Linked DNA regions of Xenopus tropicalis. The protein of the gene in region 6 interacts with the protein of the main gene of each other region in a pairwise test. Links are inferred from orthologs where the notes say so. Each region holds a gene or a part of one and is shown on either strand. Other genes may lie near its edges.

What was found.
Region 1: the proteins of fhl2 (region 6) and kiaa1217 interact in binary tests that used the Homo sapiens proteins (3 or more experiments, as listed by UniProt). The two-hybrid records come from large-scale screens. The link is inferred for Xenopus tropicalis from reciprocal best matches to the Homo sapiens genes FHL2 and KIAA1217.
Region 2: the proteins of fhl2 (region 6) and gng12 interact in binary tests that used the Homo sapiens proteins (3 or more experiments, as listed by UniProt). The link is inferred for Xenopus tropicalis from reciprocal best matches to the Homo sapiens genes FHL2 and GNG12.
Region 3: the proteins of fhl2 (region 6) and znf131 interact in binary tests that used the Homo sapiens proteins (3 or more experiments, as listed by UniProt). The two-hybrid records come from large-scale screens. The link is inferred for Xenopus tropicalis from reciprocal best matches to the Homo sapiens genes FHL2 and ZNF131.
Region 4: the proteins of fhl2 (region 6) and itga7 interact in a two-hybrid assay, tested with the Homo sapiens proteins (2 studies listed by BioGRID and IntAct). The link is inferred for Xenopus tropicalis from reciprocal best matches to the Homo sapiens genes FHL2 and ITGA7.
Region 5: the proteins of fhl2 (region 6) and jup interact in binary tests that used the Homo sapiens proteins (3 or more experiments, as listed by UniProt). The two-hybrid records come from large-scale screens. The link is inferred for Xenopus tropicalis from reciprocal best matches to the Homo sapiens genes FHL2 and JUP.

The regions. Positions count from the first base shown.
Region 1 is NC_030682.2:25,946,418-25,949,917, reverse strand, and holds part of kiaa1217 (sickle tail protein homolog), read left to right. Parts: intron 1-343; coding exon 344-827; intron 828-1,986; coding exon 1,987-2,158; intron 2,159-3,005; coding exon 3,006-3,154; intron 3,155-3,500. UniProt on the Homo sapiens protein: Required for normal development of intervertebral disks.
Region 2 is NC_030680.2:83,489,026-83,493,269, reverse strand, and holds the start of gng12 (guanine nucleotide-binding protein G(I)/G(S)/G(O) subunit gamma-12), read right to left. Parts: upstream 2,801-4,244; 5' UTR 2,782-2,800; coding exon 2,689-2,781; intron 1,906-2,688; coding exon 1,780-1,905; 3' UTR 1-1,779. UniProt on the Homo sapiens protein: Guanine nucleotide-binding proteins (G proteins) are involved as a modulator or transducer in various transmembrane signaling systems.
Region 3 is NC_030677.2:195,028,561-195,032,847, reverse strand, and holds the start of znf131 (zinc finger protein 131), read left to right. Parts: upstream 1-1,487; 5' UTR 1,488-1,654; coding exon 1,655-1,732; intron 1,733-3,869; coding exon 3,870-4,008; intron 4,009-4,164; coding exon 4,165-4,266; intron 4,267-4,287. UniProt on the Homo sapiens protein: Plays a role during development and organogenesis as well as in the function of the adult central nervous system. May be involved in transcriptional regulation as a repressor of ESR1/ER-alpha signaling.
Region 4 is NC_030678.2:137,071,635-137,075,816, reverse strand, and holds the start of itga7 (integrin alpha-7), read left to right. Parts: upstream 1-1,382; 5' UTR 1,383-1,589; coding exon 1,590-1,768; intron 1,769-4,182. UniProt on the Homo sapiens protein: Integrin alpha-7/beta-1 is the primary laminin receptor on skeletal myoblasts and adult myofibers.
Region 5 is NC_030686.2:7,366,675-7,370,710, forward strand, and holds the start of jup (junction plakoglobin), read left to right. Parts: upstream 1-1,236; 5' UTR 1,237-1,284; intron 1,285-4,036. UniProt on the Homo sapiens protein: Common junctional plaque protein. The membrane-associated plaques are architectural elements in an important strategic position to influence the arrangement and function of both the cytoskeleton and the cells within the tissue.
Region 6 is NC_030678.2:111,734,304-111,738,600, forward strand, and holds the start of fhl2 (four and a half LIM domains protein 2), read right to left. Parts: upstream 2,801-4,297; 5' UTR 2,463-2,800; intron 1-2,462. UniProt on the Homo sapiens protein: May function as a molecular transmitter linking various signaling pathways to transcriptional regulation. Negatively regulates the transcriptional repressor E4F1 and may function in cell growth.

The DNA.
Region 1 (3,500 bases), on a different chromosome or scaffold from region 6:
ACCTGTCAGGCTAACAGCTAACTGGTTTCTATTGGTTACTGAAGTGTTAAAGGAAATGTAAACCCTCAACATAAATGTTAAATCACTCAGAAAACTCTTCTAAACACTTTGGCAATTTACATTCATTATATTTACATTCATTATTCTCAAGTTTTGAACATATTAGCAGTTTTGTTTTCTTATTGGTTGCTATGGGTTACTAAACCTGGGCAAATGTTGTGCCTTTTATTACCTTCCATATTACATATAGGGGTAAATCTCCTTTTGCTAAAATGAATAATGAGCCCAGGTGCTGAGAAGTTTACTTGTACAGGTCTAATTCCACCATTTTGTGTTCCAATAGACACGCCACTGACGGATCCTCCAAATCCATTGACAACAATCAGACCAGCCAGGTTCTAATAACAGAAAGAGTAACTGAGACTGATTCACTCCAGGTCCATGAGGAAAAGTCCCAAGTGTACCTTCAGCCAACACAAACTGATGGAGGAGCAGCAGTGGAATCGCCGACCACATCTGTTAAATCGGAAGTGGTTCCCCTGTCGGCCGGCCTCAGAGTCCATCAAGTTCAAAGTTCTCCGGTTCTCATGCAGCAGTCCCAGCACTCGTCTGCACTCGTGAACCACACTCCTGCCCCCAGTACCCAGAGCAGTCACAGCACAGAATTACTAGTGAGCCATCAAACTGCCAGCGTGCCACCCAGCGTCACCCCAGAAAGTGCAAGGAGGAACCCACCGACGGCCGCACAGGAAGGATCTTCCAAGCAAAGTCTTTTTATTGAGGAAATGAGTCAAGTGACTTACAGGAACCGAGCGGTGTCCATTGAGGTATATTCTTATATCTCTGTAGGAAGCAAAGCAAGTAAGGGGAAAGTAGAACTGAGCACGCATTTACTGACCAGCCATGCAGCAAATGGAGCCACAATGGCCCTGATATCTACAGAGCTCCTAGGAAGGGTTTATGATATTAATAATACATGGAAATAGACAGTTCACTTTCACCATATTGTCCTGGTCTTAAAGACATATACCCTACATATACCTTAGTTTTTTTTCTGAGCACTTTATTTATTTGATATTTTTCAGTATTGGCAATTTTAATACTAATACTACCATGAAGGTGTAACATGTACGCCCCCTGCTGTTTGGCCTGGGCGAGGGCCTTACTGGGCCCCCTACACCCCTGCGCTCCCCAACAAACCCCCTTTTCACTTTGTGTTGGTGCAGAGCAGATGATGAATATTGACAATGTTGTGCATAGAGAGAGTGCCTGCATCTTTATGTCCCCTAATCCTTAGGGTGGCCATACACGGGCCGACTATAGCTGCCGATATCGGTCCCTTGGACCGATTCGGCAGCTAATCGGCCCGTGTATGGGCAGGGCAGAGCGGCCTGGCCGACCGATATCTGGCCTGAAATTGGCCAGATCTCGATCGGCCAGGTTAGAAAATCCGGTCGGATCGGGGACCGCATCGGCTCGTTGATGCGGTCCCCGATCCGACTGCCCCATTGCCGCCCACATAATCCAATCGTTTGGCCCCAGGGCCAAACGATCGGATTATTTTTTTTTTACCTAAATGCTCCCCGATATCGCCCACCCGTAGGTGGGGATATCGGGGGAAGATCCACTCGCTTGGCGACATCGCCAAGCGAGCGGATCTGCTGGTGTATGGCCACCTTAATTATTTCTATTCCACCTTGTGAGTTGGGCTCAAGGAACAGTGCACATATACTTTATAGCTGCCATTATCCAGTGTTCCCTTAGTTCCCCAGTTTAATGCACCCAAATGGCTTTTTTGCTTCTAGTCTCCTAGTCAATGAGTTTGGGAAGGTGCCCATATAGACACGAATGCTCTTTCTGTCTTTGTATTACAGAATAGTCCTGTTATATTCTCAGGATTTAAGGCTTAATCATGTTGCCATAAAGCTTACCTGTAGGTAGTCCTATACAGAGACTGTAAGCTAACTATGTATGTATATTCTGCAGGAGGCAGAGAGAAAATTTGAAGAGAAGAGACAGAATCTTGATCATTATAACGGAAAGGAATTTGAGAAAATGCTGGAAGAAGCACAAGCCAGTATCATGAAGGCCATTCCCAGCTTAGAGGTGCCAGCCCAGTCCCAGAAAGTGGAGATTGTGGACAAAAAAGAGGTCACGGGTAAGTGTCCAAATACATCATTTATATTCTGGATGAAGTTCTATATATATGTTTACAATGTGCTGGGTGTCAGCTCCCTGTGCTGCCATACTGTTGGGATATCCATGAATACAGTTCCATAACTTGACAATATTCAAGGTACATTATATTCTATATGGGGTGTTTCTTTGAATCTGGGAGAGGTGACTTTCCATTTGTAATCAGAGAAGGAAGATGAAATATGTGTTTGGGAGGCAACCAATAGAAGTCTTTCCACTGGAGAACTTCTAATTACATAAGAATATATAGCAGTTTTGGGAAGGTTAAACCCTCATTATTCTCTGCTGGGGTTGGTAGGCATCACAGGCAGAGTCAAATAGTGATTTGTTCAACTATTGAGGGATGAAAAAAGGAAATAATTGAATCTGCTCCTGAAAAACAAATATTATTTCACATATCCTAAAGCTACACTAACATTTAAATAGGCTGCCTTTTAAAAAAGCGCTTTATGCTTCTCCAGTTGGATTAAAGCCTGTAGGGAAAAGACTGAATTTTTCTTTACAATCCTACGGCTCGGATCAGAAGGTTTAGAATCTGCACAAATAAAACAGAATTAGATTTAGCAGTGGAATTCTAAATGAAGTCCCAGTTACACTTACTCTCATTACTGTCGGACACCTCCCCATGGCTTGTTGCACCTTGTACAGCAAACAAACCAGTGACACTCTGAGAGATAGACGTGACATTAAAGACTAAGAAGAAACAAAAGCAAAGCAATATCCCCTTGCAGTGGTCTCTAAATGTAAAGACGTGTGACTGATACCATCTGACATTTCCCCACTAATCTGACTCTCGTCATCTTTTCTAGAGGTAAAAACCATAATGGAGCAGGATAACGATAAAGTAACAAAGTCTCCCCCTCCACCACCACCTCGTCGTATGTACCCACCAGGATCTGGACTGAACAGTGTATGGACAGCAGAATCAACGTTCTTGGTCAGGAAGGACAGCAGCAAGGTATTCTGGGCTTTAGACCAGCAGCCCACATACAATTTAACTTGTACCCCCTGTGATATTAAAGTGCCAACTTGATATAGGGTTCAGTCTCTGTTGTGTCCGCAAACCCTGCTTTAAGCTTTTATAGGCCATCATGATCAACCTACCCCCTAACTACAGTAAGCTCTTGAGGAGGAGTTTGTAGCCGTACATTAATGAGAAGGTTGTTATCTAAAACGCTCTATAATAGTGGTTTCCAAACCCAAGAACCATGAGTGTTTAATACAATCACAGGCATATCTTTCAAAATGACTTGTCCATGGGTTGGTCTACCTGCGCCCACACACTATATTAGGATTCCAGTGCC
Region 2 (4,244 bases), on a different chromosome or scaffold from region 6:
AGGCTGCTGGTGGCTGGTCATCTTTATTGGCCTTCAGCCAGCATTGTTTTGGCAATGCTTGCAAACTTTTCCCAAGCTTGTATAACTTGCAGGCTAATGCCTTGTACACAAAGTTCAAGCACAGTGAGCCGATAAGTGTCTACCCAGGGCCTGGGGAAAGTAAGAGAAGTGTACCATATATCATTACTACTTATATGGCACCCAACTCCTTTTTGTACATTGAGATATGCCTCCTATTTTCTCTAATACATAGTGTTCGCCAACTTTTTTACAAGAAATAGAAAAAAAACATTATCCAAAGTACATAATTAATTATTATTATCATATAAATGTAGCATTTTGATAAACCTTCCCCTTTTCTTAAGTGGCAGATTTTATAATGTTCCTTACTTTTTTGGTCAAGTCAAGCTTGTCTTTGAGTCAGTATTACATATCTTAGAAGCTTATTCTGTACAAACTAAAAACTATAAATTATGCTTTAATATAAATGCAATCAGTAATACAGCATCCTCTTTATGTATGATATTGTATCATGTAAAATCATCATTAGGAAAAGATTGTTAACTGAAGTAGAAGGGTTTGTGCATTTTAGGCTGCAATCTCGGCCAGATTAACAAATTCATCCCCTGCTTAAATACAGGGTGGTCCAGCCACATACATGATATCTAGGTTTCCTATCAAGGGTAAACCCAACACTTGGTCTCTAACTACCCTTCAAGTACGGCATATTGGCATTGTAGAAAAATATGAATTTAGAGTATACATGTTCATTCAATCAACTTGGTCAAAATGAATATATAAAAAAAATACTAGCACACTCAATAATTCCCTGGTGAAGTTGCTAGCTTGATTTAGGCCGTTACTTTGATTAAAATGACAGATAACTTGCTACAGGGCCTTGTGTGGCTCCTATAATGTTCTGTATGTGTGGTCCCATTTAAGAACTGCTTGTTCCGGAACTTAACCCTAGGCATTTAAAGCACAAACCCAGTTGATGGTAATCCAGCCCCCATAAAGCTCAGAACTGGAGCAACACAAGTTTTTTAGTTCACCCATATCCATGTCTGTAAAAATGTGTGCCTTCCGCTTCCAGCAGCTCCATGTAAAAACATACTTCCTACCCCACGACATAAGCAAAAATATGGAAAATAATTACAAATATTACACATTACGGGTCCTAAATTATAAACCCAACATCAATACAACAGAAATGTCTGCTGAAAAATGTTGCTTTCACATTCATTAAACTGGTACAGATACAATTTGGCTTTTGAAAGATCCTGAGAAGCAGCCCATAGTGTGCCAGGTTCAAAGGCTTAGAAAGAGGAATGAGGATGTTAACTGTAGATGGCTGAGGCTTGCCCATTTGACATTTGGGTTGAATCTGCAGAAGGGGGTTCAGTATGAATGGCAGCTCATAGTAAACCTCCATCATTCCTTGCCTGCAATGATAAACTCTGTGCAGCAAGTTGAGGCAACGTTGGTCTTACTTCAATTTTTCTAGCAATGTTGAAAATGGACAAGTAGACACTGCACATTAAAATGCAGACAAATAAATATGTATCCACTTCACTCCTTAATATCTGTTCAGACCATAACATTTGGTTAAAAAACAAACTGATCCCATGAGTAAGAAAGCTATAAAGGGGAAATATATAAAAGAATCATTGGTATAGAATTTTTTACCCACTTTTTCTCAAGTGGAAAACAGATAGGATCTGGTGTTGGAAAGAGACAAAATTTAAAAAAAAAATATGATGTTCACTAGTAACTATTACACTACAATATAATGCAAGGCTTTTTATCCTTGAAGGGGTTTTCTGATGCAGGGATTCCCATGAGCAAAGGGTCATTCTTGGCATGTTCGTCACAGTAACGCATGAGATCGGCTGATGCTTTTGAAACCTAAAACAAAAGAACAAGCTTATTCCAAGATTCCGATATTCTTGATAGAATTTTAGCAATTCTTGATTTTAGAATTCCTGATAGACTTTTCACTAAGGGCGGCTATAAACGTGAAGATACGCTTGTTCGGCAAGGTTGCCAAATGAGCAGATCTTTCATCGATATGCCAACACACACTTAAAGGAACAGTAACACCAAAAAATTTATATATTTTAAAGAAATTAAACTATAATGTACTGCTGCCCTGCACTGGTAAAAATTGTGTGTTTGCTTGAGAAACATTACTTGAGTTTATATAAACCCTGGTGTGTAGCCATTCAAAAGAAGAAAAGGCACAGGTTATATAGCAGCTAACAGATAAACTCTGTAGAATACAATGGTGTCTTATCTGTTATCTGCTATGTAACCTGTGCCTTTTCTCCTTTTTTCCAGCTTGAATGGCTGCCAGCGGGGCTACACAGCAGCTTATTATATAAACTATAGTAGTGTTCCTGAAGCAAACAACAGAGTTTTACCAGTGCAGGCAACAGTATGTTATATTTCAATTACTTTAAAACACTTTCATTTTTTGGTGTTACTGTTCCTTTAACAGTTTAATAGTAAAAACACATAATAAGGATCAGGGATCAAATGCAGCAATTAGTCAAGAGGCTTTAAGGCTTAAAAACAATACTTCTTACAGACAAGAATTTCTTTGTCTTGTAAAGTGGCATATCTGTGTTAACAGTCTGGTCGTATGCAAGTGTTCTTTTAGTTTAATTCAACAACTGTATAGGTCTTTACCTTTACTCTTTCTATGGAGGCCTCCACTTTGAGTTGCTGTACAGTTCTTCGTGCCTGTGCTATGTTATTTGTGCTGGTTGTTTTTGCAGACATCTTTGGTGAGGTCTAAAAAGGTAAGAAGAAAGAACAGGTTGTCCTCTGCTATTCCAAATAATCACAGCATTCCAGAGATACCAGCTTCTTGTACTCCACACACCCAGCCTTTTGGTGCAGTAGAGCTGCAATGTCTGTCTGAGCAATGTGTTGAACAATCTAACAACATAATGGAAAGAATTAAAGGATTGCTCTGTTGAACAGTAACAGTTAAACATTTATAATGCTTTTTTTTTTTTTTAAGTATTAACTTATAGGTATAGTGAAACATTCCAGGTTTTAGCAGGAATGTTTCCGACACTGGTTAGTATTGGGTGAGCTGGGGGAGGCAGGGGCACCTCAGTTAGATAACAAAGTGGCCTCCCCCAGCTCACCCAATACTAACCAGTGTCGGACTCTATCACAGCTTCAAGTTGAACAACTTTCTGATGAAGCGTGGTTGGGGCGTGGGACAAAACTCTGATAAACTGGAGTACAAATGTAAACAGTGTCTCCAGACTATGAGAATACTGTCCTGCCCCCAAGCATGTAATCACTCAGGAATGTGTTTAACTTGAAGCTGCACCAGAGACTGACACAGGTTAGTATGGGGGGAGGCACATAAAAATCAATTAAATAAAAAAAATAGCATCACACTGGATTTAAGTAGGCATAGGGTTTAAAATAGAAACCTGTCACTATCCCTTAAAATGGTCTCAAGCTTGCTTCTTGCTAAAGGTGGCCATACACGTGGCGATCCGACGATGTTTCGTACGACCATCGGTCGTACCGATGTATGGTGGCCATACACGCACCGATATTATCGTACGAAACCTCGTTTCGTACGATAATCGGTGCGTGTATGGCATGTCAGCGAGCCGACCGATATCGCAGGAAACTGCTGAAATCGGTCGGCTCGCCGATCGGCCAAGTTAGAAAATTTTGATCGGGCGCCATAGAAGGCGCCTGACCAAAATTCTCCCTTCAGAGCTGAATCGGCAGAAGGAGGTAGAAATCCTATTGTTTCTACCTCCTTACCTGCCGATTCAGCCCTGAATGGTGTGTGGCGGATCTGACGATGTTTCGTGCGACCGACGGTCATACGAAACATCGTGAGATCGCCACGTGTATGGCCAGCTTTAGGGTTACTAGATTACTCAGAAGCACTTGAGAGTTTTTGCTTGATGCAGCCCTGACCGCAATAATCCTTTTATTCTGTTTAGCGATACAGAGAATAGAATATGCTTTTAGTATTGTACATACATCAATAAACACAGCTGCTTTTTTTACTCACAAATGGAACTCTCATAGCTGATGATCTTAAACAGGCTACAGATATGCGCTTTTACTTGTCACATAACTTACTAGCATCCAGTGAAAATTACCCAACTGCAATGCATTTACAATCAGACAGTAAAGGAAATCTATACCCCTGAACAATGTAAGTCTTTATAAACAGCTCATATGTAAAACACTACTAAATC
Region 3 (4,287 bases), on a different chromosome or scaffold from region 6:
CATTACTTATACAGTTCTGTATGTAATATGCAACATACGTGTGTACATACCCATTACTTGTACAGTTCTGTATGTAACATACGTGTGTACCTGCCCATTACTTGTACAGTTCTGTATGTAATATGTAACATACGTGTGTACATACCCATTACTTGTACAGTTCTGTATGTAATATGTAACATGCGTGTGTACCTGCCCATTACTTGTACAGTTCTGTATGTAATATGTAACATGCGTGTGTACCTGCCCATTACTTGTACAGTTCTGTATGTAATATGTAACATGCGTGTGTACCTGCCCATTACTTGTACAGTTCTGTATGTAATATGTAACATGCGTGTGTACCTGCCCATTACTTGTACAGTTCTGTATGTAATATGTAACATACGTGTGTACCTGCCCATTACTTGTACAGTTCTGTATGTAATATGTAACATGCGTGTGTACCTGCCCATTACTTGTACAGTTCTGTATGTAATATGTAACATATGTGTGTACATACCCATTACTTGTACAGTTCTGTATGTAATATGTAACATACGTGTGTACCTGCCCATTACTTGTACAGTTCTGTATGTAATATGTAACATACGTGTGTATCTGCCCATTACTTGTACAGTTCTGTATGTATGTAACATACGTGTGTACCTGCCCATTACTTGTACAGTTCTGTATGTAATATGTAACATGCGTGTGTACCTGCCCATTACTTGTACAGTTCTGTATGTAATATGTAACATACGTGTGTACCTGCCCATTACTTGTACAGTTCTGTATGTAATATGTAACATACGTGTGTACCTGAGCATTGTACACTGTCACAGAACATGTTAGCACTTTATAAACATCCAACCTGCGGCAGTACAAACCTGTGGCCGCCCTAGTATGCCCTGCACGGTTGGTGGGATGTAGTTTAACAAGAGCTGGACCTACTCAGTGCAGCCACCATCCCCCCTGTACGTTTGGCCAATGCTTGCTGCCTATCCCCCCCCATGGGATCCCTAAGGAAACTGCTGCCTTTGTTTTCCCTACAGCCGAGCGTGTAACGCGCAGAGGATGCGGGAAATGGTCGCTTTGGTACCCCAGCCTCCCACACCCATCTAAAACCCCAAACTCCCCTCACTTCACTTTCATTTCAGCAGGGAGGTCAGAGGCCGAAGTGACGTCAGTTCCCGCGCTATGGATGCTGGGAAGCCGAGGCGCCCGCCCTTTCCCCCCCACAGCCATCGACAGACTGGAGGAGGTGGAGGCCGCGGGCAGCCTATCTCGCTGTAGCCGGTAAGTGACTGAGAAACTAACGCAGCTTCTCCTCCGCGTCACTGGCGGCTAGCGCATCTCCCTCACAACCACATGTTATAAGGCCGCCTGCCTGCATGGGGGCGATTTTTCTTTATGCGCGATTTGATGACGTAATAGTGGCCGGCTGGCGCCGCAGTATATACTGAGGGAGACGAGAGGCCGTTTCCGGGTGGTGGGCTAGTCACAAGCGATGTAACTTAGTAACTGGGTACATTAGAGGACAGGTCACTGCATTATTTTTTTGGCTCCGCTCCCGTTTCTCTGTTTTAGTTTCACGGCCCGGAGGCAGGCACTGGGTGGTCAGAACAGGCCTTCCGGTGTTTAAGGCGGAGACGCAATTGGCCAGGTTGTTGACATGATGGATGGACGGACGCCCAATAGGAAGCGAGAGGGGAGGGACCAGTGGTTAAGCTGGCTGAGGGCGTTGCATGGAGTTAGTAAGGGAAGGGGAGGGGCCAGCGCTCACTCGTGTAGTTTCCCAGCAGCATCACAAACAGTCAGAGAGTTCTTTTAGTTAAAAGCGACACACTCCGAATTTTACTCGATCTTTAGAGTTTTAGTTACGTGATTTGCCGTGATTTCCCAAACTCCAGAACGTAAAAAGAATGTCACCTTTATTAATATTAGCCTGCCTTATTTTATTCGCCTCATCAATGAGATACGTGAAGTAAAAGTGTGCAGGGAATACCATGGGAAAGGGCAGTCTGCCATTCTAAATAACGTTTCCACATGCATTCATTACATTTTCAGTGGCCATTGGGAAATGGTTTCAGCAATACACTCACTGATCACACACGGGTAGGAATAGGGGGCTCCAGCTTAAAGGAACAGTAGCACTAAAAAATGAAAGAGCTTTAGTAATACAAATATAATGCACTGTTGCCCTGCACTGGTACAACTGGTGTGTTTGCTACAGTAAAGGCCCCCATACACAGGCCGATTATAGTTGCCGATATGGGTCCCTTGGACCCATATCGGCCCGTGTAGGGGCAGAACCGAGGGGCCTGGCCGACCAATATCTGGCCTGAGATTGGCCAGATATCGATCGGCCATGTTTGAAAATCCAGTCAGATCGGGGATCGCATCGGCTCGTTGATGCGGTCCCCGAACCGACTGCCCCATCGCCTACATGCCTCCCCGATATCGCCACACGTAGGTGGGGATATCGGGTGAAGATAAGCGAGCGGATCTGCCCGTGTATGGCCAGCTTTACACTACTATAATTTATATAATAAGCTGGTGTAGCTCCGGGGGAAAAAGGAGAAAAGCTTATCGGCCCGTGTAGGGGCAGAACCGAGGGGCCTGGCCGACCGATATCTGGCCTGAAATTGTCCAGATATCGATCGGGCAGGTTAGAAAATCCAGTCTGATCGGGGACCGCATCGGCTCGTTGATGCGGTCCCCGAACCGACTGCCCCATTGCCACGTGAAGAATTCGATCGTTTGGCCCCAGGGCCAAATGATCGAATTCGCCTACATGCCTCCCCGATATCGCCACCCGTCGGGTGAAGCGAGCGGATCTGCCCGTGTATGGCCAGCTTTACACTACTATAATTTATATAATAAGCTGGTGTAGCTCCGGGGGAAAAAGGAGAAAAGGCACAGGTTACATAGCAGATAACAGATAAGTTCTGTAGAATACAATAGTGTTTTATCTGTTATCTGCTATGTGCCTGTGCCTTTTCTCCTTTGAATGGCTGCCTCCATGGCTACACAGCAGCTTATTTATATAAATTATAGTAGACTTTCTGAAGTAAACACACAACTTTTACCAGTGCAGGGCAGCAGCACATTATATTTTAGTTACTTTTATACACTTTAATTTTTTGGTGTTACTGTTCCTTTAAAGGACAACAATGTCCAATTCACTGGTGCCAATATGTAAAGCATCCCCCCGGTGAATATAGTCACTAAGGTTATTTCTCCGGGCTGCTCCTAGGGAAAAATACATGCCCCCCCAGGTGCATTCTGCAGGTCTTATTAACACAATGGGGCACATTTACTAATCCACGAACGTCCGAATGCGTTTTTTTCGTAATGATCAGTATTTTTGCTACTTTTTTGGCGCCTTCACGATTTTTTCCGTATTTTTCGCAACTTTTTCGTCGCCGTTACGACTTTATCGTATTTTTTCCGCGACTTTTTCGTCGCCGCCGCGAAAAATTTGGATTGGTTTTTCCGCCGTTTACAATTGCTCAATACGAAAAAATCACAACGGCTACGAAAAAATCGTGACCGCGACGAAAAAGTCGCAAAATTTTCGTTTCCAATACGATTTTTTTCCCTTTCGGGATTCGGATTCGTGGATTAGTAAATCTGCCCCAATGCCTCGTGCAGCAGGGAAAAGTGGCAAAAAAAAAAAAATTTTTTTTTTTTTTTTGCACATTGTAAATGAGCCCTATTCTCTTTTTATTTTTTTTCCCCCAAACTTAAGTAGAGGTTATTATCTGGAATGCTTGGGAACTGTTTTTTTCCTGTAATTTCAGACCAGCATTTAGCTGCTGCCTGTCGGTGCTGAGGTTCTAGGTTCAGTTCCAGTTCCAGTCCCAATTTACTTTTTCTTGTTTCAGACAAGCTGTCACGGTATGGAAGCAGAGGAGACGATGGGTTGCATTCAGGAGTTCCCAGACCATTACAAAGTGATGTTGGACAGACTAAATGAACAGCGAGAACTTGATCAGTTTACTGACATCACATTAATAGTGGATGGTATGTATGTTGCTCCCGCCATTTATAACGCGTTATATCATTGTTGCTTGATTCATTCGTCAGCCTGTTTATTCACAAGTATTCATTTATGTATTTGGGTTGTTGAGTTTATGGATCGTGCTTTTAAGCATCTATTTTTTACCTTGTCTTGCCCAGGTCATCAGTTCAAAGCTCACAAGGCCGTTCTTGCTGCATGCAGTCACTTCTTCTACAAGTTTTTTCAAGATTTCACTCAGGAGCCATTAGTGGAAATTGAAGGTATTTCAGTCCTTGTTGTTC
Region 4 (4,182 bases), about 25 Mb from region 6:
GCAGGATTTGTGAGTAAGCTGGAGCAGGAATAGACAGCAGGATTGTGAGTGAGCTGAAGACAGAATAGAGAGCAGGATTGTGAGTGAGCTGAAGAAGGAATAGAGAGCAGGATTGTGAGTGAGCTGGAGCAGGAATAGAGAGCACGATTATGAGTGAGCTGAAGAAGGAATAGAGGGCAGGATTGTGAGTGAGCTGGAGCAGGAATAGAGAGCAGGATTATGAGTGAGCTGGAGCAGGAATAGAGAGCAGGATTATGAGTGAGCTGGAGCAAGAATAGACAGCAGGATTGTGAGTGAGCTGGAGCAGGAATAGACAGCAGGATTGTGAGTGAGCTGGAGCAGGAATAGACAGCAGGATTGTGAGTGAGCTGGAGCAGGAATAAAGAGAAGGATTGTGAGTGAGCTAGTGCAGAAAGGGAGAGAGCTAACTGCCCATTGGAATGACAAGCATGAGATTGTATTAGATGTGACCTCTGGCTATCAGCAAAATGTTGCTATGTAAGCTTACATATAACAACTATAAGCAAACTTTATTTCAGAGATATGACAAAGTTGCACAAACTAGATACAGTTGTACAGCACTGAAACATTTACTTGAGTGCAATGCACAGTTCCGAGCATACAACCAGCAGAGCCATCAGATCACTGCAAGATGAGTTGGGCTTAGGTATCTCACACTTAATGATGCAGAGAACCTGCATCATTAAAGTGATACTGACATGAAAAAATGACTTTTCAAATTATGAATCTACTTAAAAAGTTACCTATAGGTTATGTTTATCTTTTTTCACTGTTAGGGCTGGTTTTGTATGTAATTGTTACTTGAAGTTGCCAACCTGACTGTCCCTTCTTGGCCTTCAGTTACAGCTCCTAATGCAAACGGCCTACTGCTGCACAAATATGGCAGCCCCCTCATAGAGGAACATGGGGGATCAGATAAGGAATGTAAAATCATCAGCAAATACTTGTATGGCAAAATTATAAAGCTCATGCAAAGACAATGTTATGATAGATGTAAAAAAGGTTTCATTTCTGGTGTCAGAAACTCTTTAAAGCATTTTGTAGTATAAGAACTGACATCACCAAATGGCAAAGCCCCCACCTAATTTCTAGCTAGCAGTATGGCACAAATGTTCTGTAAGTGGGTATTCATGCCATAGAAGATAGTTTGACTCTCTGTTGTCTCTGTTACTTTCTATAAATTAAAAAAGAGACCACACAACACTTGCAGTTAGATCAGGGGACTTACCTCATTTATTGGGCCAGTGCAACACTATTCTATTTTTGTTAAATAAAGAAACTGTAAACTACTTTGGATGTCTCTTTCCACCTGCTCCCTCCCATCCCACCTCCCTGCACTCTCTAGAGTTCTGAAGCAAGAGGGGGCTTGTCACTATGTGAATGCTGCACTCTGCCTGATCAACACTTTACTCCTTAGTCTCTGTGTCCTCACTTTGTCATGTTTGTATGACAGCAGTGGACAAGGCTTGGGGTTGATTTAGTAAATGATATTCCTTGCCTGGGGGTCATTAGAAGAGAAACGGTGCACAGTTTCTTTCTAGTTCATCACCCACGGGAGAGACTGCAGAATGCCTGCGGAACTGGGTGCTCCCCTCTGCTTCTCCTGCCTGTTACTGCTCGCTGTGCTCAGGATCCATGCCTTCAATCTGGATGTCACCAACACACTGACCAAGGATGGGGAAAAGGACAGCTTATTTGGCTTCTCAGTGGCCCTTCACAGACAACTAAATCCTGACCCTGTGAGCTGGTGAGTGATTTTGCTATGATGTAGAGTTCCTAGGGGCAGACCCTGCTATATCTGTATATGTGGAGTACAAAAGAATGCAGAATAGATGTTCTCTGAATTACTTTTTAGAATGTTTTTCTTTATTAACAGCATCCCCAGTGCAGCTTGTACTATAGAGTGACATCCCTAAATCACACAATAGAGTTAGTTTTATCAGAAGCCACATAACTTGCCTGTATATTTTTAGAATGCGGCATCAGAGCTAACCAGTGAGCCCCAGTGTTCCCATCTCAGGGTAATTTATATGGTTTAATATTTCATCATACCAAAGCTGGCCTTACATACCGAGATTTGGTTGGGCAGTTTGGCCAAGTTTGAGTATAGTGTGCAGCTAGCTGGGCATTAATACCAGATTGGGAATCAGTTTTGATAGACCATCCTGTAATCTTCTGTGACTTCTTTCTGGCCCATAATATATGTACTACTAAAGCTTAGCACTGCACAGCTTTCTAAGTGCAAGTAATCACGTTTATTGAATCAGTAATTTTCTACGATAAGTATGATGTGTGCTGTTCATCTTTATATTAACCTTAGTGCAATTGTGCCTGGTCAGTCTGTTTGAATAAATTAAGCACAACTGTGCCAATTGACACAGGGGAACCCTGTGTAGCTCCATGGTTCCTGCTGTAGCCAGAATTGATTTGTGCAGTGGAGTTGCACCTAAAGTACAGGTATTTTCATCGCAACTATAATTAAACTGGAATTATAGTAAAAATGCTGCATTCTAGGTAAAATACAAGGCGATAATGTATTCAGAATGGCACACTGCATTTGCGGTCATAAATGACCCTTATGGTCCATGCCACCTGTGAGCTTTCATGGGCCATGCTGTAAGGGACAGGCACAAATGACAGAATGACATCATTAGGATTCTTTCATGTTTTCCTGCTCTGCATTTTTGTCACCAGTAAAAGCTAAATATAAGCATAGCCATGCTGTTGCCCAAAATATCCTTCTTCTAAAGCCACCCACATATAATTTACTGTTGTCCTGTATTCCCTCCTGTTTGTATCTGAATTTTTGAAGAGATATTACATGATTTTTATAGATTTGATGCAATGTGTTTCTGAGACTTTAATAGAGATGATTTCTAGCTTTTTGTATTCATATTGTTTTTGTATGTAAACACCTAGGAAATTAGTGATTAGTATTTATAATTTGATGGGTGATTATTTTATATTACAACAGTTTCTGTTAAAAAATCAAGCAATATAAATTGGTCTTAAATGTGGGTATAATTTCTTCTTAGAATCTGTCAGGATTAAGATGGCATACATGGAGATATGCTGTTACTCAATTGTGTAAATTGTATTCAGTACATATACATATAGATATTTGTGAAAAAAAGGTTCACCTGTTGGCTTCATTCCAGTCCTATGAGTACAGATTTTTACTGTGGTGTTCATTTGTATTGGACTGTACCCAGGCAAGTTTTTACTTGGATATAGGGGCGTATTTAGGTCCAGTGACCTAAAGTGGGTGAATTTTTCTGGTTTGAGCTCTAATGTCACATTTTGATAAATCATTATCTGTCCCAAAGTGTTAATGGACAGATTTATCAAAGTGTGAGTTTAGAGCTTAATACATTAAAACTCACCCATGTTCTATTCATTCCTAATAGATTTTTAGAAGCTTATTTATCAGATGGGGAGTTCTAACTTTCACCCATTGATAAATACATTGCTAAAAATCCCATAGGAATGAAAAGCACGTGGAAGATTTTATGTATTAAGCTTTAAACTCATATTTTGTGAGTTTGCCCCTTTGTGTCTGTAATCACATGAAAATTACAGCACTGGTGATTTTAGTCTGACTTTCCCTAAAAAACAAGAATTCCACACTCCATTCTTCATTCCCATCATTTCTTGGGTGCACTATTATTTGATTACATATACCTGTTGCCTGTCTTGTCCTGTCCTGACCTCTGGATTATACTCATGTCTCATGTCACCTTGCTATTCAGACTCAGGTATGGAATCCGTTATCCAAAAAGTTTTAAATTACAGGAAGGCCATCTCCCATAGACTCCATTTTAATCAAATAATTCAAAGTTTAAAAAATGATTTCCTCTTTCTCTGTAATAATAAGACAGTAACTTGTTCTTGATTCAAACAAAGCTACATGAATCCATATTTAATTAATATTTAAATTATTTTTTGTAGACTTAGGTATGGACATTCAAATTATGGAAAGACGCTTTATCCAGAAAACCCCAGGTCCCAAGCATTCTGGATAACAGGTCCCATACCTGTACTGAGTCCTTACATTTTGCTTCAGATAGCTCACGCTAGCCTGATAGATATGTATAAATGCAGTTGCTCACCTTTCATGTGAACAGCATATCTTTTTTTGACAAATGATGATCCTGCAACCCC
Region 5 (4,036 bases), on a different chromosome or scaffold from region 6:
TGGGATGTCAGGTCGTAGGGAGGGGGAGGTGACACGGTGTATTGTCATTCCACTGTTTGGTGGGGCAGGGGTGGGATTGATCTGTTTCATAATTACATCCTAATGTAGTCATTTAGCTACCAGACATTGTATTGATGTCAGCGTATGGTTTAAGCATAACTAGATATAAAGCAAAAAGCAGCGATTAGCAGCCTAAACTACAACTCCCAGCACTCACCATCAACTGTTATGGGTAGCTGTAGTTCAGGGGTCCTCAAACTACAGCCCGCAGGCCAATGGCCCCCCAAGGTCATTTACCCAGCCCCCCACTGGGACTACGCCGAGGCAGACAGGTAGTAGCCAGGGGTGAGGACGCAGGCGTAGTTTGAAGACTAGCCCCCCAACAGTCTGAGGGACCGTGAACTGGCCCCCTGTTTGAGTTTGAGGGCCCCTGCTGTACAGAGTACAGAGGCTAATATGTACTATTTCAAAGCTGTACTGTAAGGGAATCTCTTAATGTGTGGAAACATAGGCTGTCAAGGCATGCTGGGAGTTGTAGTCCAATAGCTGGAGAGTTGCCATCAGATAGTATAGTCTCACAATAAGGGAACACTTATAATAAGGAAAGCAGAAATGAGTTGAACTAATAATAAAGAGACTTTGTAGTGTTCTTGTTCTCCTGACAGAATGGAAGGCTTGCGTATCAGAAGCCCCTGAATACGCCCCTACTCAGCACCAGTTGCCCTATAAAAACCTCCATAACAGAAACTACAGCTCACACCTCCCCTCCCTGTCTGCTGCCCTTGTCTCTCTCTTTCTGCCTGACTCACCTGCACAGGTGAAGCCCATAACGTCATTTAAAGGAGGGCATTACAGGTCACACCCGTGTCTGCGGGCAATGCCCCCCTCCGCAGCTATTGGACGGCGTTATTTGGATTGATATAGAACTCCTCCAATCAGAGTTCACCTTCCCAACTTGTGCCCAATCGCAGATTACAATAGGCATGGAGTGAAACACAAGAATGATTGCCAGCGAAGGCAGCCAATGGGGAAAGTGTGGGCTTCGTGGGGTGGGCGTTTGGGAAGGACTGGGCGTTGTGACTGATTCACATGTTTTCCAATTGAAAGCAAGAGACGGCCGGGCAGTGGTTATTGTCAGGCTGGGGGGCGGGGCGTTGCTGGTTGGGTGGGGGGTGCTGCTGACAGCTCGGTGTAGGGCTTAGTTGTTGGAGTGTTCAGGTCTGGGCGAGTTCCTGACTGAATTGTGGGGATACAGAGGCCTCTTCCAGCGCTTCACAACGCAGGGTAAGGAGCTGCCATTATCGCTGTGTGTGTGGGCTGGGGCGGGCTGGGGAGACTGGCATCTCTTGGTCTATGGCGTGTCCTTCCCTGCCTCTAGCCTGAAGCGCCTTCTCTTTCCTCCTATGGAGCCTGTAGGGCTGTTGGTTCGGGCTTAGCTTTCCTAGTCTCTGAGCTGCTGCTGCTGAACTGCAACTCTCAGTATTCTATGGCAGCTACCCTGCTAGAAATGATAGCTTGGGATAGTCCATATGCCTGACTGCTGCTGAACTGCAACTCTCAGCATTCTATGGCAGCTACCCTGCTAGAAATGATAGCTGGGTATAGTCCATATGCCTCACTGCTGCTGAACTGCAACTCTCAGAATTCTATGGCAGCTAACCTGCTAGAAATGATAGCTGGGTATAGTCCATTGCCTCACTGCTGCTGAACTGCAACTCTCAGAATTCTATGGCAGCTAACCTGCTAGAAATGATAGCTTGGGATAGTCCATATGCCTGACTGCTGCTGAACTGCAACTCTCAGCATTCTATGGCAGCTACCCTGCTAGAAATGATAGCTTGGGATAGTCCATATGCCTGACTGCTGCTGAACTGCAACTCTCAGCATTCTATGGCAGCTAACCTGCTAGAAATGATAGCTGGGTATAGTCCATTGCCTCACTGCTGCTGAACTGCAACTCTCAGAATTCTATGGCAGCTAACCTGCTAGAAATGATAGCTGGGTATAGTCCATTGCCTCACTGCTGCTGAACTGCAACTCTCAGAATTCTATGGCAGCTAACCTGCTAGAAATGATAGCTGGGTATAGTCCATTGCCTCACTGCTGCTGAACTGCAACTCTCGGCATTCTATGGCAGCTAACCTGCTAGAAATGATAGCTTGGGATAGTCCATATGCCTTACTGCTTGCTGCTGCTGAACTGCAACTCTCAGCATTCTATGGCAGCTAACCTGCTACAAATGATAACTGGGTATAGTCCATTGCCTCACTGCTGCTGAACTGCAACTCTCAGCATTCTATGGCAGCTAACCTGCTGTAAATGATAGCTTGGGATAGTCCATATGCCTTGCTGCTGCTGAACTGCAACTCTCAGTATTCTATGGCAGCTAACCTGCTGTAAATGATAGCTTGGGATAGTCCATATGCCTCACTGCTTGCTGCCCATCACTATTAGTCCCTAAAAAAAAAAAATAATATTCTCAGTTTCCCCTTATATTTCAGCCTGTTCCTTATCTATGGGTTAACCCTTTCTCTCCTTGTTGTAACCCCTTCACTGGTGTAACACCTGCTCATTTAACCCCTCCTGTGCTTGCTCTTCTCACCCTTCCCCTATCACCTCATGTGTTACCTTTGTATTTACCCCAGGCAAATGTATATACTGGCTACACCCATCCACACTGATCCCATGGAGGGAAAGTCTCTCTCTCTGTCTGAATGTTTGTTGTTGTTTCTTAAATACCTCCTGTTGTGCTGCTCTGTTCCTGTGTATTGCTACATTGTGTCATTATTCCAGCCTTCATAGCAAGTGATGATTTCTTCTATTAATGCCTATGGGAGAGCAGGTTGGACTTGCTACTACGGCGGATAAAGCATGTACTGTGCTTTTCGCTACAGCTGCCAGCTGAAGGCTGTTGGTGCATCATGGGAATTGTAGTGTAACAATATATGGCCATTGGATTCTGCCCTCGTTAGCATAACCTGTTTATCTAGCAGTAATCCTTTATCCATACACTGTAGAGCTGCCCATACACCCACCGCAAGATCTACTCGTTTGGTGAGGTTGCTAAATAAGCGGAGAATTACCCCATTAAGCCACCCAAACTGGTCTGATAGACCCAACTGGCAACTACTGGGTTTCAAGCTGAGAAGGGTCCTTGCCCGACTGGATTTACCGACCACATGTAGCTGACTTTCGCGCAGATATCCTTTGAGTAGGTCCAACTTGGTCATAATTGGGAGGGGGGTTTATATTGGCTTAACCCTATAATGGAATATTTAGTAACTAACCTTATACTGTATATAAATACAAAATCTATTGTGCAGACGCAGGCAACCCACCCCTGCCCCACCAAACAGCGGTATGACAATACACAATGTGACCTCCCCCCTCCCCACGACCTGACATCCCAGTATGTAGTGAGGGAGTGGCGTTACACAGCACAGACTCTTCCCTGAGGGGGAAACGACATTCTCCGATCCATTGTGGCCCCCAGTCACAGACACACACAGCACAAATGTTGCTTCTGGCCAAGCAGATCAAGTCATTAAATATCTGTAATTTGGGCGGCGTAAAGCATCGACCCACAAAGCAGAATTACAGAATACATGTACGTAACATTTTGATACATTGTCATTTCATTTGTGCGTTTTTATGGGAGTTCTAGGGGTTGCGTTCACTTAGGAGGAAGTTACGTTTTCGACAAATATTGTCTCAGTTAATGGGCTTTTCCATTGCCGTCACTTTAACAAAGTCACATATATCAGTGTTTGGCTTTTTACAGTAGTGGACTTTGTGCGCTTTATTTAGTAGATAGTGCCCCCGCCCACATATAAAGCTTTCGCTCCGTCACTGTGCCAGGCATTCTAAGGACAGTGCCAGGAGTGAGCCCATCATTTGAAATGATTCATGGCCACGGGCTTTGTGTTTTCCCTTCTCGCTGCCAGAGGAGACAGCGGCACATTGAGCCCAAAAGATTAACAGTTGCTTTAGGTGATTGAAAGAATCTGGGAGAGGAATTCTGGGAGGTTTTCTAGAC
Region 6 (4,297 bases):
TTGACCACATTTTTCTGTAAATTAGAAAAAAATCAAATGATTTATTTAGCCATCAGAGTTTGAAAATGAATGAATTTGCCTTTTACTGCATCCAAATATATTGCAAAGACAAGTTCAGTTTGGGTCACAGGTTTCCAGGTGTTTGAAGAGTCTGAGAATGACAATTGGATCATACTGGGTTGCGGTTTATCTGTGTAGCTAAGCTCATAGAATTCTGTCTGTTTTGTGAGAAGGGTTTCGTACCCCAGTGTAGATCTGACAATGCTGCTTAGCTTGATAATTGCACAACCTAATGTGCGGCTGCTCAGTAGTGTTAAGGCAGCACTTAGCTCTTCCCATCTTAATTACAATCACAAACTCCAAAAAGCAAATTCCCATACCTTCCGTTAGCTGGTCGTTATACTTGTCAATGGCAACATAATCTCTAAAGCATTCTGACAGGCTCGTTAAAGACAAGTTTTATTTCTGTCTTCCAAATCAGTGCCCTGCTCTGTATCTCTGCACACCTTATTGCTAATCCTGTGATGTGACACTGATTTCCCTTTCATCTGGGTACCCTGTCTTTATTTTATCTGTCACGCCAAGGAGCAATAGAGAAAATCCAATGTATTGCACCAAATGTTATTGTCAGATTTCATTTCCACAACAATTTGGGTATTTGAGTATTCCTACGGTCTTTGCCATGGTCACAGTTTCTATACTTAAGATTCCAGTACTCAAAAGGTCTGGTGCTTGTTATGATTCTCTTTATGGAGACGTATAAGCTGAGCATTTCATGGCTTAGTTGCCAGAATGGTATGTACTGTATGGTGCCCTGCTTCTATCTTTCCATTTACTCTTCATGTATCTTTATAACAAGGCATTAAATTAAAATCCAAACACCTTTAACATGCAAATATTTCCCAACAGAAATGTTTTGTTTTTTAAAACTTTTTTTTACATTTATTATAAGAATGTTTGACTGTTTTAAATATATTTTTAATTTTTCCCAAAGCAGATCCCATACTGTGGTTAATGATTCAGACAGCTGTTAAAGAGGTTGTTCACCCTTAAATTAACTTTTAGTATGATGTAGATATTTTGAAATTTTTTGTGCTTTTTGGGTTATTTAAGAGAGACACGGAATAGAAAGCAAAGGAATAAAAAGCATCAATAACAATAAAATAGCTCCACAGAGCAATAGTTTTTTGGCTGCCAGTGTCAGTGACCCCCATTTTAAAGCTGGAAAGAGGCAGAAGAGGCAAATAATTCAAAAGCTGTACAAAATAAAAATGAAAGGCCAGTTGAATAAGAATAGGACATTCTATAACACAATAAAGGATAAAATAAAGTTGAACTACCCCTTTAAAAAATTGGTTTGCTGCTCTCTGCATGCAGCTTATGATTCTTTGAACAGCGACGTGAATGAATGAATCGAATGTACTTTTGATTTTAGCTCTCATTATTTTGCTGCCGAAATCAGCTGCCTTCCCTCCAATAATCCAGTGTCTTGCATGCACTTGTTCCTGCTTTCCAAATTACGGCAAGGCCATCTCCCATAGACTCCATTTTAATCCTATAATTCACATTTTTAAAAATGATTTCCTTTTTCTCTGTAATAATAAAACAGTAGCTTGTACTTGATCTCAACTAAGTTATAATCAATCCTTATTGGAGGCAAAACAATCCTATTGGGTTTAATTACTGTTTAAATAATGTGTTTAGCAGACTTTAGGTAGGAGATCCGAAATACGGAAAGACCCCTTATCCGGAAAACCCCAGGTCCAAAGCATCCTGGATAATGGGTCCCATACCTGTACTGACATGTTCCTATAACAGATAGTAATGTGTCACTATTTCTTATTACCATATAAAGCAAGGTCTGCTTCTTAGTTGCACCTAGTCCAGCACGCCGAGCATTCAGCACGCCGAGCATTCAGCATAAGAGATCAATAATATTATTATCATAAACTGTTGTGCTTCCTTTCCAAAAAGTACAGTCAAAAGAAATCATTGCATTTGAATTCATACAGTGGTTTGTGTAGATACATATTCTAGGTCTCTAGAAAGTTTTAATTCTATTTGGCCATCAGGCTTTGTGTACTAAAGGAGAATAAGGCAGACAGTTCCACTTCATCCAGAGTATCCTGTTTATAGTTTGTGCCTCTGCAAGGATAAACTGCACTGCAGTGCTATTAACAAAATTGTAAGTGCCTTTTTATTAGAGTAACCTCCAACCTGTGGCTCTCCAGCTATTGCTGAACTACAAGTTACAACATAACACAATACCATCTTGCTTTGGTGGCGTGAGTGCAATTTAAGCACCTAGAGTTCTGGACCCTGTTGCACACACATTTTCAAAATTAGTGAAATAAAATAACTGATTTTTTATCCTCAGTAGGCATTTTAAAGTACATGAGAGTTTTAATGCATTATACTATATTATGTCTCTAGCTGCTGTGCAAAGTAAAAACAACCCTTACCTGCGGTTAAAGTGTGCCAGGTCTGCCCTCCAGTCAGAGAATGAAATGGCTGGGACAAGTCCTTTGGAGTTTTGATACTCACTGAATTATTTAAACAATGAGTGTGATAATTAGGAAGATGGACATTCTTCTGCTTGCTGTGCTATTAATACCATATCTCTAATAAAACAGCTCTTCCCTGCAGATAAGCATAGTGGCACCTCATAGCAAGCAGCCTTTTAAGGCGTTAGTTAGTGACAGACATGTATTTGTGGATGGTTTTTATTCATAGCTCTCCAGTCTTTTAAGTGAGAACAAAACTGGTCAACCTGCATCCCACACAGGCAGCTATAAATTATCCTCTAAAGTGGCCCTGCAACTACAAACTACTCTAAGCAGGCAGCAATTATAGGGAGCAGCAGGGGTTTCACATCTGGTTTTGTAAATTAGGAATAATTAGGAATAAATCTTTATTTATAAAGTGCTATTTGTGTATGCAGTGTTACGCTTTTTTATAGTACATTATCAGGACAGTCAGAAGTGAGCCAACAAGGAAACAGTGACACAGGAGGAAGGTGGTTCCAGGCCTAGAAAGTTTACAATTTATGTGGCTGAGTAACTTACAGACAAAGCATGGAGAGTAATAAGTACAGCCATTACTCTGAATGAGTGAGCTCTGAATCACACCTGGCACCAGATACTATGCTAGGGCTCCAACAGGCAGGATTTGATTTTAGTTCTGAAGAGCTTGTGAGCTGGGGCACTCACTCATTTGTGTATGTGACTGTCCCAACATGGTCGCCTGTGCTGGGCGCTCCCTTCTACTGCAGCGTGGGCACTCTGCGCTTCCAGACAACTGTAGACACCTGCCTTGTTCCCAGCACCTTAATAACCAGAGAGTGTTGTATTATGGAAAATTTGTACTGTTTAACTAGCTTTTAATGAGTATAATATGTAACTCAAATTCCAAATTGTTTTTTTTTCTCAGGCTTTTAATATAATGCATTTTTTTCTCAGCCTTTTAATATAATGCATTTGCTAACATGTAATATTCAAATAGGCTACTAGTTACATGCTAAAGGAAGCAGGACCTTGGTAGGAGCACGTCTGTTATAGCACATTTTCTATCTTAAAATATCCCTTTAACTAGTAGGAGTAATCAGAACACTGACACTAATCTTCACTGCTGGATGTGCATGCACCCTACTGGTTCTGCTAAGGATCAGGATAGTACCGACTGTATCAATATGCATTGCTTAGTGGATTTCTATGAATTCTAATACAGTATCTTGGTCATTTTTTTTATCCCCCTGTATTACTCTGTTCATGATTTCAAGGATTTATATGATTTATAGTAGGTCTTTGTAAATAATGTCCCAGGTCTTTAATAAACCTCATGAAATATGACAGACATCACTGAGCCTTCAGGAGAAGGAAAGTCTCAAATGAAAACAGAGACTAATCTGCTTATTAAGCTAGTGTGTGCTCTGTCTCACGCAGCCCCAGTGATATTATCTCCGGAATATTAATAACTCTTGGAACATGTGAAACCTTTTCCAGTTGCTTTGGGAATGTAATTGTCTTTAATTACTCTGGCAGTGTCAACACACACACTAAAAAGTCTAAGCGAATGTGGTGGTCACTGTAGGCATTATGATATGTTCCCAGTATGAATTATTCATTCATTGCTGTTGTTGTACTGGACCCCTAACAATGAACTGATGACTGATTGCTGTGGGTTACAGGAACCTATCAAACATTGCAAATGTTTTTGCATTAACCCCAAACGGTTAGGGCTCCTTCATATCAATGTTTTTGTTTGTTTACACAGATGATGTCAAAAACTAATTGGGAAC